Macaca mulatta: one gene and its partner. The protein of the gene in region 1 purifies or fractionates together with the protein of each later gene. This does not show direct contact. Links are inferred from orthologs where the notes say so. Each region holds a gene or a part of one and is shown on either strand. Other genes may lie near its edges.

Evidence for each region. Proteins that work in one complex are often made in the same cells at the same time.
Region 2: the proteins of FBXW11 (region 1) and MAP1S purify together in Homo sapiens (affinity purification with mass spectrometry; 4 studies listed by BioGRID and IntAct, with this or other methods). This does not show direct contact. The link is inferred for Macaca mulatta from reciprocal best matches to the Homo sapiens genes FBXW11 and MAP1S.

What each region holds. Positions count from the first base shown.
Region 1 is NC_133411.1:180,721,663-180,725,990, forward strand, and holds part of FBXW11 (F-box/WD repeat-containing protein 11), read right to left. Parts: intron 3,106-4,328; coding exon 2,856-3,105; intron 430-2,855; coding exon 311-429; intron 1-310.
Region 2 is NC_133424.1:18,221,201-18,225,528, forward strand, and holds part of MAP1S (microtubule-associated protein 1S), read left to right. Parts: intron 1-2,420; coding exon 2,421-2,503; intron 2,504-3,342; coding exon 3,343-3,483; coding exon of another isoform or gene 3,484-3,597; exon of another isoform or gene 3,598-3,709; coding exon of another isoform or gene 3,710-4,051; intron 4,052-4,143; coding exon of another isoform or gene 4,144-4,173; coding exon 4,174-4,328. UniProt on the Homo sapiens protein: Microtubule-associated protein that mediates aggregation of mitochondria resulting in cell death and genomic destruction (MAGD). Plays a role in anchoring the microtubule organizing center to the centrosomes. Binds to DNA. Plays a role in apoptosis.

The sequences.
Region 1 (4,328 bases):
TGAGGGAAGTCAGAGCGAGTTGGGCTGCAGCACCCTAGTCTGTTCTGAAGTGCTCTGATATTAAGTGATCCTGGGTGGAGTTGAGGTTAAAAAACTTTATGTACTGGGGGAACACTGGAAGACCACCCAGGGCATACACGGTTTTCCCACTTGAGTATACAGAGCCAAATACATTTCTAAAAGTTACCTAAAGCTTTCTTATCTGAAACATCCCATTTACTCTGAGTTGTTTTGAGCATTAGAACTAGGAGATGAGTCAACAACGTGGCAAGAATCAGCCTGCTCTGTCAGCACACCAACTTCTACCCACCTAATGGTATTATCTGATGATCCACTAACAACCAGCCGATCCCTGTACTGGAGACAGGCAATGCCTCGCTTGTGCCCATTGAGAGTACGGACAAATTCACAGGTGCTCGTGCTCCAGACCTGTATAACAAATTAACAATATTTTAAAGAATGAATGTGGAAAAGTCCTCCCACAATATACCTTTCTTAAAAAGACAGCTTCTGAGAATGACCCAAATATGTGATTATAAAATACAGTGTCCTCTAACTCAAAGTTGGGAGGCTAGAGGGCAGACTAGACAGCATAACATTTTCTTTGGCTGCTGAGTAATAACACTGGAATGAAACACGGAGGGAAGTGAAGTCTCCAGTCGTTGAGATCTTTACAAAGAGAACATCTCCTAGATGGTTTGGATATTCATTTACCTGGAGGAAAGAGTTTGGGCCAGATTTTATGTTTTTACACCAGCTGACATGTCAAACCCAATGAAGCTAATGTAATAAAAAAGCTTCCAGCTGGGTACAGTGGCTCACACCTAATCCTAGCATTTCGGGAGGCTGAGGCGGGAGAATTGCTTGAGCTCAGGAGTTTGAGACCAGCCTGGGCAACGTAGTAAAACCTCATCACTACAAAAAATAAAACTAGCTGGGCGTGGTAGTGTACATCTGTGGTCCCAGCTATTTAGGGGGCTGAGGTGCAAAGATCACTTGAGCCCAGCAGGTTGAGGCTGCAGTGAGCCGTGTTTGTGCCACTGTACTCCAGCTTGGGTGACAAAGCGAGACTTTGTCTCAAAAAACAAACAAAAAGTTTCATCTTTCATATAATCCTCTTTTCCAGCATATTTTCTTGAACAGCTCCATTTGTTTTGACACATTACTTCTAATTGTATGTATGTAGAATAAATAATCCCCTCTTTTGTGATATCATCTGAAAGACTTAGATGTTCATAGACATCTCAATGTATTATTAGACAAATAAGGAGACACACAGCAACCAGAGTGCCCTGAATTATCTTAACAGCTGCATTTGCAGCTGAATGGGATAGATAAATATATCTCCACATGTAAAAGAATGGCATTGGACATCTACCTCATACCTTAAACAAAAATCTAACTCAAAATGGATCAAGGACCTAGGCACGTCTTGATAAATTGAACATCATCAAAATTAAAATCATTTGTGCATCAAAGGATACCATCAAAAAAGTGAAAAGGCAACCTACAGAAAGGGAGAAAATATTTTCAAATCATGTATCTCATAAGGGGCTTGTGTCCAGAATATATAAAGAACTTATAACTCAACAATAAAAAGACAAATTATCAATTTTTAAAGTGGGCAAAGGATTTATAGACATTTCTCCAGAGAAAGTACACAAATGGTCAATAAGCATACAACAAGTTGTTCAGCATCATCAGTAATAAGGGAATGCAAAGCAAAACCAGAGATACCATTGCACACTCACTAGGGCAGATAAAAGAAAAGAGACAAATAACAGCAAGTGTTGGCGAGGATATGGAGAAATCCTCCATGCTGGTATTATGAAACAGCTGTTTTGTAATAAAGCTCAGACCCTCTCAACTTTCAGGCACTGGTCTCATACCAATTGGTGTGACTGTGGGAGTAAGTTGCCACATATAAATCCTAGTTGTTTAGCTTCCCAACTATCCAGTCTAAAGCCTGATGCTACACACTTTGTGATTTGTGGGGCTAGGTGTAAGAATGCTTTCCAGTGCTGGTCATGAAAAGGATGTTCTTTGCGCAAGCTGAAACCCCCACATACCACTGGCAGGACTGTAAAACGGTGCAGTGCCTTTGGAAAACACTTTGGCAGTTCCACAAGCCTGGGCAACAAAGTGAGACCTGGTCTCTACAAAAAAAAAATGGGCAGGGGGGCGGGCCTGGTAGTGCCTGTACTCCCAGCTACGCCAGGAGGCTTAGGTGGGAGCCTCAGGGGTCCCTGAGCTGAGGGACGGCTTGAGCCCAGGAGGTCAAGGCTGAAGTGAACCATGACTGTGTCACTGCACTCCAGCCTGGGTGACAGAGTTAGATCTGTCTTCAAAAAAAAAAAAAAAGTTAAACAGAGGGTTACCATCCTAAGAAAATTAAAAACATGAAAACTTCTACACTAATATTTATAGCAGCATCATCTGTAATAGCCGAAAAAATAGAAACAACTAAAATGTCTATCAACTAATAAACAGAAGAACAATGAAATGTTATTCAGCCACTGGAAACAACAAAGTACTGGCTGGGTGTGGTGGCTCATGCTTCTAATCCCAACACTTTGGAAGGCCGAGGAATGCTTGAGCCCAGGAGTTCAAGACTAGTCTGGGCAATATAGCAAGACCCCATCTGTACTTAAAACAACAACAACAACAACAACAACAAAAATGGGACAAAGCTGATAGATGCTACAAAGCACATGGATGAACCTTGAAAACATTACACTAAGCACAGAGGAGAATAAAGATCTTACCAGGTACCAGGTTGGTATAAGCCACCTCTGCTTTCTCTCTGTTCTAAAAGGGACAGGAGGAGGCTGGGTTATGACTGCAGACATACTTACTTTGATGGTCCTGTCACCAGAGGCGGACACAATGTACTTGTCGTCAAAGTCTACTACATTGACAGCAGCCCGGTGGCCAACCAGGACACGGCGTAAAGTGATATCGGTCGCAGAAGCCATGTCCCACACAGCAATGGAGCGGTCCTTGGAACACGTCACCATCAGTCCATTGCTGAAGCGTAAGTGCAGTACGGCCTCATTGTGGTGGATCAATGTGTTAAGAACTTCACCCGTGTTCACATCCCACACCCTAGGAGAGAAGAGAAAAAGCATGATGCTTAATTACGGAGACAGCCAGGAAATGATTCTGGCATCTGAGTTCTGTCTGGGTCTGCAATGGCTTGGATATGGTTTGTCTGACTCTACCAAATCTCATGTTGAAACTGATCCTCAGGGTTGGAAGTGGGGACTGACAGGAGGTGTCTGGGTCATGGCGGTGGATCCCTCACGAATGACTTGGTGCCATTCTCATAGGAGGGAGTTCACTCTTAGTTCTGAGAGAACTGGCTGTTGACAAGAGCCTAGCAGCTCCGCCCTCTCTCTTGCTTCTCTCTCACATGTAATCTGCATACACTGGCTCGCCTTTGCCTTCTGCCATGAGGAGAAGTAGCTCGAAGCCTTCATCAGAAGCAGATGCTGGTACCATGCTTCTTGCAGAGCCTGCAGAACCATGAGTCAAATAAACCCCTTTTCTTTTATAAATTACCCAGCCTCGGGTATTCATTTATAGCAACACAAATAGACTAAGACAGGGTCCATTCTTAATGAACCTAAGGGCATGATTAAAAGGTGCCCCTAAAAAGCAATTTCTTTATTTGTTGAGAAGTGCTGAGATGGTTTCAGAAAAGGTGGCTAATTCTGGCTCTGCTCGAGTTTAGGTGTATTTAGCAGTCAGGTATTCAGGGACGGTGTCTGCAGGCTCATGCTGATGGCAAAAGACAATTCCTCAAGAAAGCAGATTTTGTATTGAGTCTGAGATAAAAGGAAGAAGGAGCCTTGTTGGCTGAAGAACTGAGAATGGTTCCAAGCTTACAGTTCTTGTTGACCTCTGGCAGACCTCTGAGTCTATTATTTATCCACTGCAAACTGGGTAAGTCATGATGCCTCATCAATCACCACATCCACTTCTTTACTCAGCTGCTTTATGGACAAAGCCAGGGTCTCCCAACTGCTTTGTATGTCCAGGGATTTGGGGGCAGCACTTCCACATCATGGCTTTTCTGTAACCCTCATCTCCTAAGAGGACAAGTTCACACAGGGCAGAGGGGAAAAGACTCAGGCCTCTGAGGCTGAGACATGATCTCTGGCAGAAGCAGTGGTACGGAAGCACTGAGTCCAGGAGAGGATACCAGGCGTGCTTCAAGCAGGGGTGGTGATGCTTCAGGCAGGGGTGGTGATGCTTCAGGCAGGGGTGGCGATGCTTCAGGCAGGGGTGGTGATGCTTCAGGCAGGGGTGGTGATGCTTTAGGCAGG
Region 2 (4,328 bases), on another chromosome or scaffold:
TCATTGTCCCAGTGGGTCCTTGTGGCTTCCTGACACTTCATGGAGCAGAAAGTGGAGCTGGAAATCCTGTCTGCTGTGTGCGACCTTTGTGGCCGCTTCCCCTCTCTATGCCTTGATTTCCCCACCTGAATGGGGCAATATCCGTGTGTGGCAAAAAGCGTGCTAAGGCTGGGTGGGGTGGCTCTCGCCTGTAATCCCAACACTTTGGGAGGTCAAGGTGGGAGGACTGTTTGAGGTCAGGAGTTTAAAACCAGCCAGGGCAACATGGCGAAACCCTGTCTCTACTGATAATACAAAAACAAGGTGGGCCTGGTGGTGCATGCCTGTAGTCCCAGCTACTCAGGAGCCCGAGGAGGGAGGATCGCTTGAACCCAGGAGGCAGAGGCTCCTGTGAGCTAAGATTTGTGCCACTGCACTTCAGTCTGGGCAACAGAGCGAGACCCTGTCTCAAAAAATAAAGTTAGACCTGGCACGGTGGCTCACGCCTGTAATCCCAGAACTTTGGAAGGCTGAAGTGGGTGGATCACCTGAGGTCAGGAGTTCGAGACCAGCCTGACCAGTATGGTGAAACTCCGTCTCTACTAAAAATACAAAAATTAGCCAGGTGTGGTGGCAAGCGCCTATAACCCCAGCTACTTGGGAGGCTGAGGCTGGAGAATTGCTTGAACTCAGGAGGCGGAGGTTGCAGTGAGCCGAGATCACGCCACTACACTTCAGCCTGGGCAATAGAGGGAGACTCCATCTAAAAAAAAATGAGAGAGAGAGGGAGGGAGGGGGAGAGAGAGGGAGGGAGAGAAAGAGAAAGCTCAATGTGATAGAGGTGAGAGAGAGAGAAAGAGAGAGAAAAGGGAAAAGAAGGAAAGAAAGCAAGCTAAATGTGATAAGGGCTGGCAATACCAGAGGGTCTTTGCCTCTCCAGACTCAGCCTTGTTTACAGTTCAGTCCTGCCTCAGGGCCTTGGCTCGTGCTGTACCCTGGTCCGAGTTGGCCCTCACTGGCCCTCCCCTGGCTCTGGTTCCTTGCCAGCCTTCTCTCAGTACGGATGTTTAAAACACAGATAGGCCCTGGGGGACAGAGCAGGGTCAGGATCCCAGAAACAGTCCCACTTCAGCCCAGGCCCTTATGCTGCCCCACCCCTAGCTGAGTCCTGCCTCAGGGCCTTTGCTCCGGATATACCCTGGTCCAGGATTGCCCTCATTGGCCCTCCTCGAGCTCTGGCTCTGTCTAAAAAATAAATGTGGGCCGGGCGCGGTGGCTCAAGCCTGTAATCCCAGCACTTTGGGAGGCCGAGACGGGCGGATCACGAGGTCAGGAGATCGAGACCGTCTGGCTAACACGGTGAAACCCCGTCTCTATTAAGAAATACAAAAAACTAGCCGGGCGAGGTGGCGGGCGCCTGTAGTCCCAGCTACTTGGGAGGCTGAGGCCGGAGAATGGCGTGAACCCGAGAGGCGGAGCTTACAGTGAGCTGAGATCCGGCCACTGCACTCCACCCTGGGCGACAGAGCGAGACTCCGTCTCAAAAAAATAAAATAAAATAAAAAAATAATAAATGTGGCTGGGCGGGTGCAGTGGATCAATCTTGTAATCCCAGCACTGTGGGAGGACGAGGCAAGCGGATCACCTGAGGTCAGGAGTTTGAGACCAGCCTGACCCACATGGTAAAACCCCGTCTCTACTAAGAATTCAAAAAATGAGTGGGGCGTGGTGGCGTGTGCCTGTAATCCCAGCTACTTGGGAGGCTGAGGCAGGAGAATTGCTTGAACCCAGGAGGCGGAGGTTTCAGTGAGCTGAGGTTGTGCCATTGCCTGGGCAACAAGAGCAAAACTCCGCCTCAAAAAAAAAAACAAAAAAAAAGAAGGGCTGGGCACAGTGGCTTACGCCTGTAATCCCAGCACTTTGGGACTTTGGGAGGCCAAGGTGGGCGGATCACCGGGTCAGGAGATCGAGACCATCCTGGCTAACACGGTGAAACCCCGTCTCTACTAAAAATACAAAAAATTAGCTGGATGTGGTGGCGGGGACCTGTAGTCTCAGCTACTCGGGAGGCTGAGGCAGGAGAATGGCATGAACCTGGGAGGAAGAGCGGAGCTTGCAGTGAGCTGAGATTGCACCACTGCACTCCAGCTTCCACTGCACAGAGCAAGACTCCGTCTCAAAAAAAAAAAAAGGAGTGTAACGGTGGCATCACCCACAGGGGTGACAGCTGCAAACCAGGCCCTGCTCATGATGGGGCCCTCTGGTTACTGCCTCTCTTAGGCCAGCCAGGGTGGTTGAGTTTCTCTTTCTTGCCTGGTTCTCTGCCGTGCGCCTCTTAATCTCCGTATGTTCCCTGGGTGGGTTCCCAGAGGGGTTCGTGTTCCCTGAGGGTCACACGGGGAGGCAGGATTTGACTCCAGGATGGCCTGATTCCCCCACAGGCCAGCGGAGCCTGCACCACCGTGGAGACAGCCTGGAGACCCTGGTCCTCCTGAACCCATCAGACAAGTCCCTGTGTGATGAGGTAGGGAATGGCTGACATCCTGGAGGGGGCGGGCTGCTGGGACCCATGCCGTCTCTGTCTTCCTGTCTCGTGTCCTTGTCTTCATGCTGCCCCAGATCCTCTCGAGACACCCGGCACCACACTTCCTCGCCCACGAAGCCTTCCCCGTGGCTCCAGCCTCTGCTTCTTCCCTCCTCTGGGGTGGGAGCAGAAAAGCCTGGGTTTGGGAGGGAGGGAGTAAGCACTCCCAGCCTAGGGCCCAGGACAGCGTGGGTCTGGAGCCCGGAAGGCCAGAGCAGACTGAGGTTTGCGTCCCGTGGGTTCCCTCCGGCTAGGCCCCAGGAGTTGTCTGAATTGACTCACTAATACTAAACGGCTTGTGGCCATCTGTATTCCACCAATTATACATCAGGAAGATGACCCAGACAGAGCCCTGGGGCATCCCACTGCACACTTTCTTACAGGTTGATTCCTTGGATCAGAACTTTTCCCTTTTATTCCCTTGAGGAACTCTCAGTCTTTAGGAGACAGAGCGAGACACAGACGCCCCCAGCCCTGTGGCATCAGGGCTGGGCTGGAGGGAGAGGTGGACTAGAGAGAGCCCAGAAAGGGCAGTGAGTGCCTTTAGAAGGAAGGGACATCAGAGTTGGGCTTTGTAAGATGAATAGGAGTTTGCTAGAGTTGCTCCAGGGCCCAGCAAGAGACCTGGAGACTGCCCTCATAGCTAGTTGAGCACTGGGCTGGCTGTGGGGTGAGGGCAGGAGAGGGGTGGTTATGTATCAACTTGAGGCCACCCCAAAGAGGACTGCTGGATACGTCACTGCACAGAACGGGGCCTTTAGTGCTCACCCCTCCCTCAGCTCCGGAACCTTCTGTTGGACCCTGCCTCTCACAAGCTACTGGTGTTGGCTGGGCCCTGCCTGGAGGAGACAGGGGAGCTGCTGCTACAGACAGGGGGCTTTTCGCCTCACCACTTCCTCCAGGTCCTGAAGGACAGAGAGGTAAGCCACCCCTTTGCCATCCCCCACTTTCCCAGCTCAATCCTGGCTTGTCTGCATCGGGCTGTGTGGCCCCAGCGACCTGCTGTTTTCCATGACCTGGTCTCCCCCTCCTCTGTAGGGTGGCAGTGGTGACACGTGCCTCCTGGCTGTCCAGGGTTAGTCCCATTGCCCGGAAAGGGTGTGGTGTGAGCTGGGTCTGTAGAGCAGCTGATGTCCCAAAGTCCTGATGTGGGATGGAGCCAAATGGGTCTTTCTGGTGCCCACAGTCTGGGCAGGACACGTGGGCAAAAGTCTCTGGCAAACCACATTTTCACACTGGAGTGGGGCACTTAAAAGTGATGAGAAAAGGTTCAGTAGACAGAGGTGGGCCGTGGAGGGTCTCCTTGGAGGAAGCTGTGCCCTGGGAGGAGAGAACGGTGAGTGTAAAGGCCCTGGGGCAGGGAGGCATTTGACGGGGAAGGAGAGGCAGGAGGTGAGGCCAGACCAGAGAGCCTCCTGGCGCTGGAGAGGGTTGGGTTTTGGCGGGAGGGTGCTGAGGAGCAGGCCTCGGGGTGGGGGAAGGCTGAGGGTATCCTCGCCCAGGTTTCCCACTGGGCTGGGTGTTGCCACGGTGGTCCCTTACCATTCCCCCTCTAGGTGGTTCCTTCCCACTAGCTTTAGGTGGTCCCTTACCACTCCCCCTCCATACAGATCCGGGACATCCTGGCCACCACGCCCTCACCTGCGCAGCCGCCCATACTCACCATCACCTGCCCCACCTTTGGTGACTGGGCCCAGCTGGCACCTGCTGTGTCCGGCCTACAGGGGGCGCTCCGGCTCCAGCTGCGGCTGAACCCCCCGGCGCA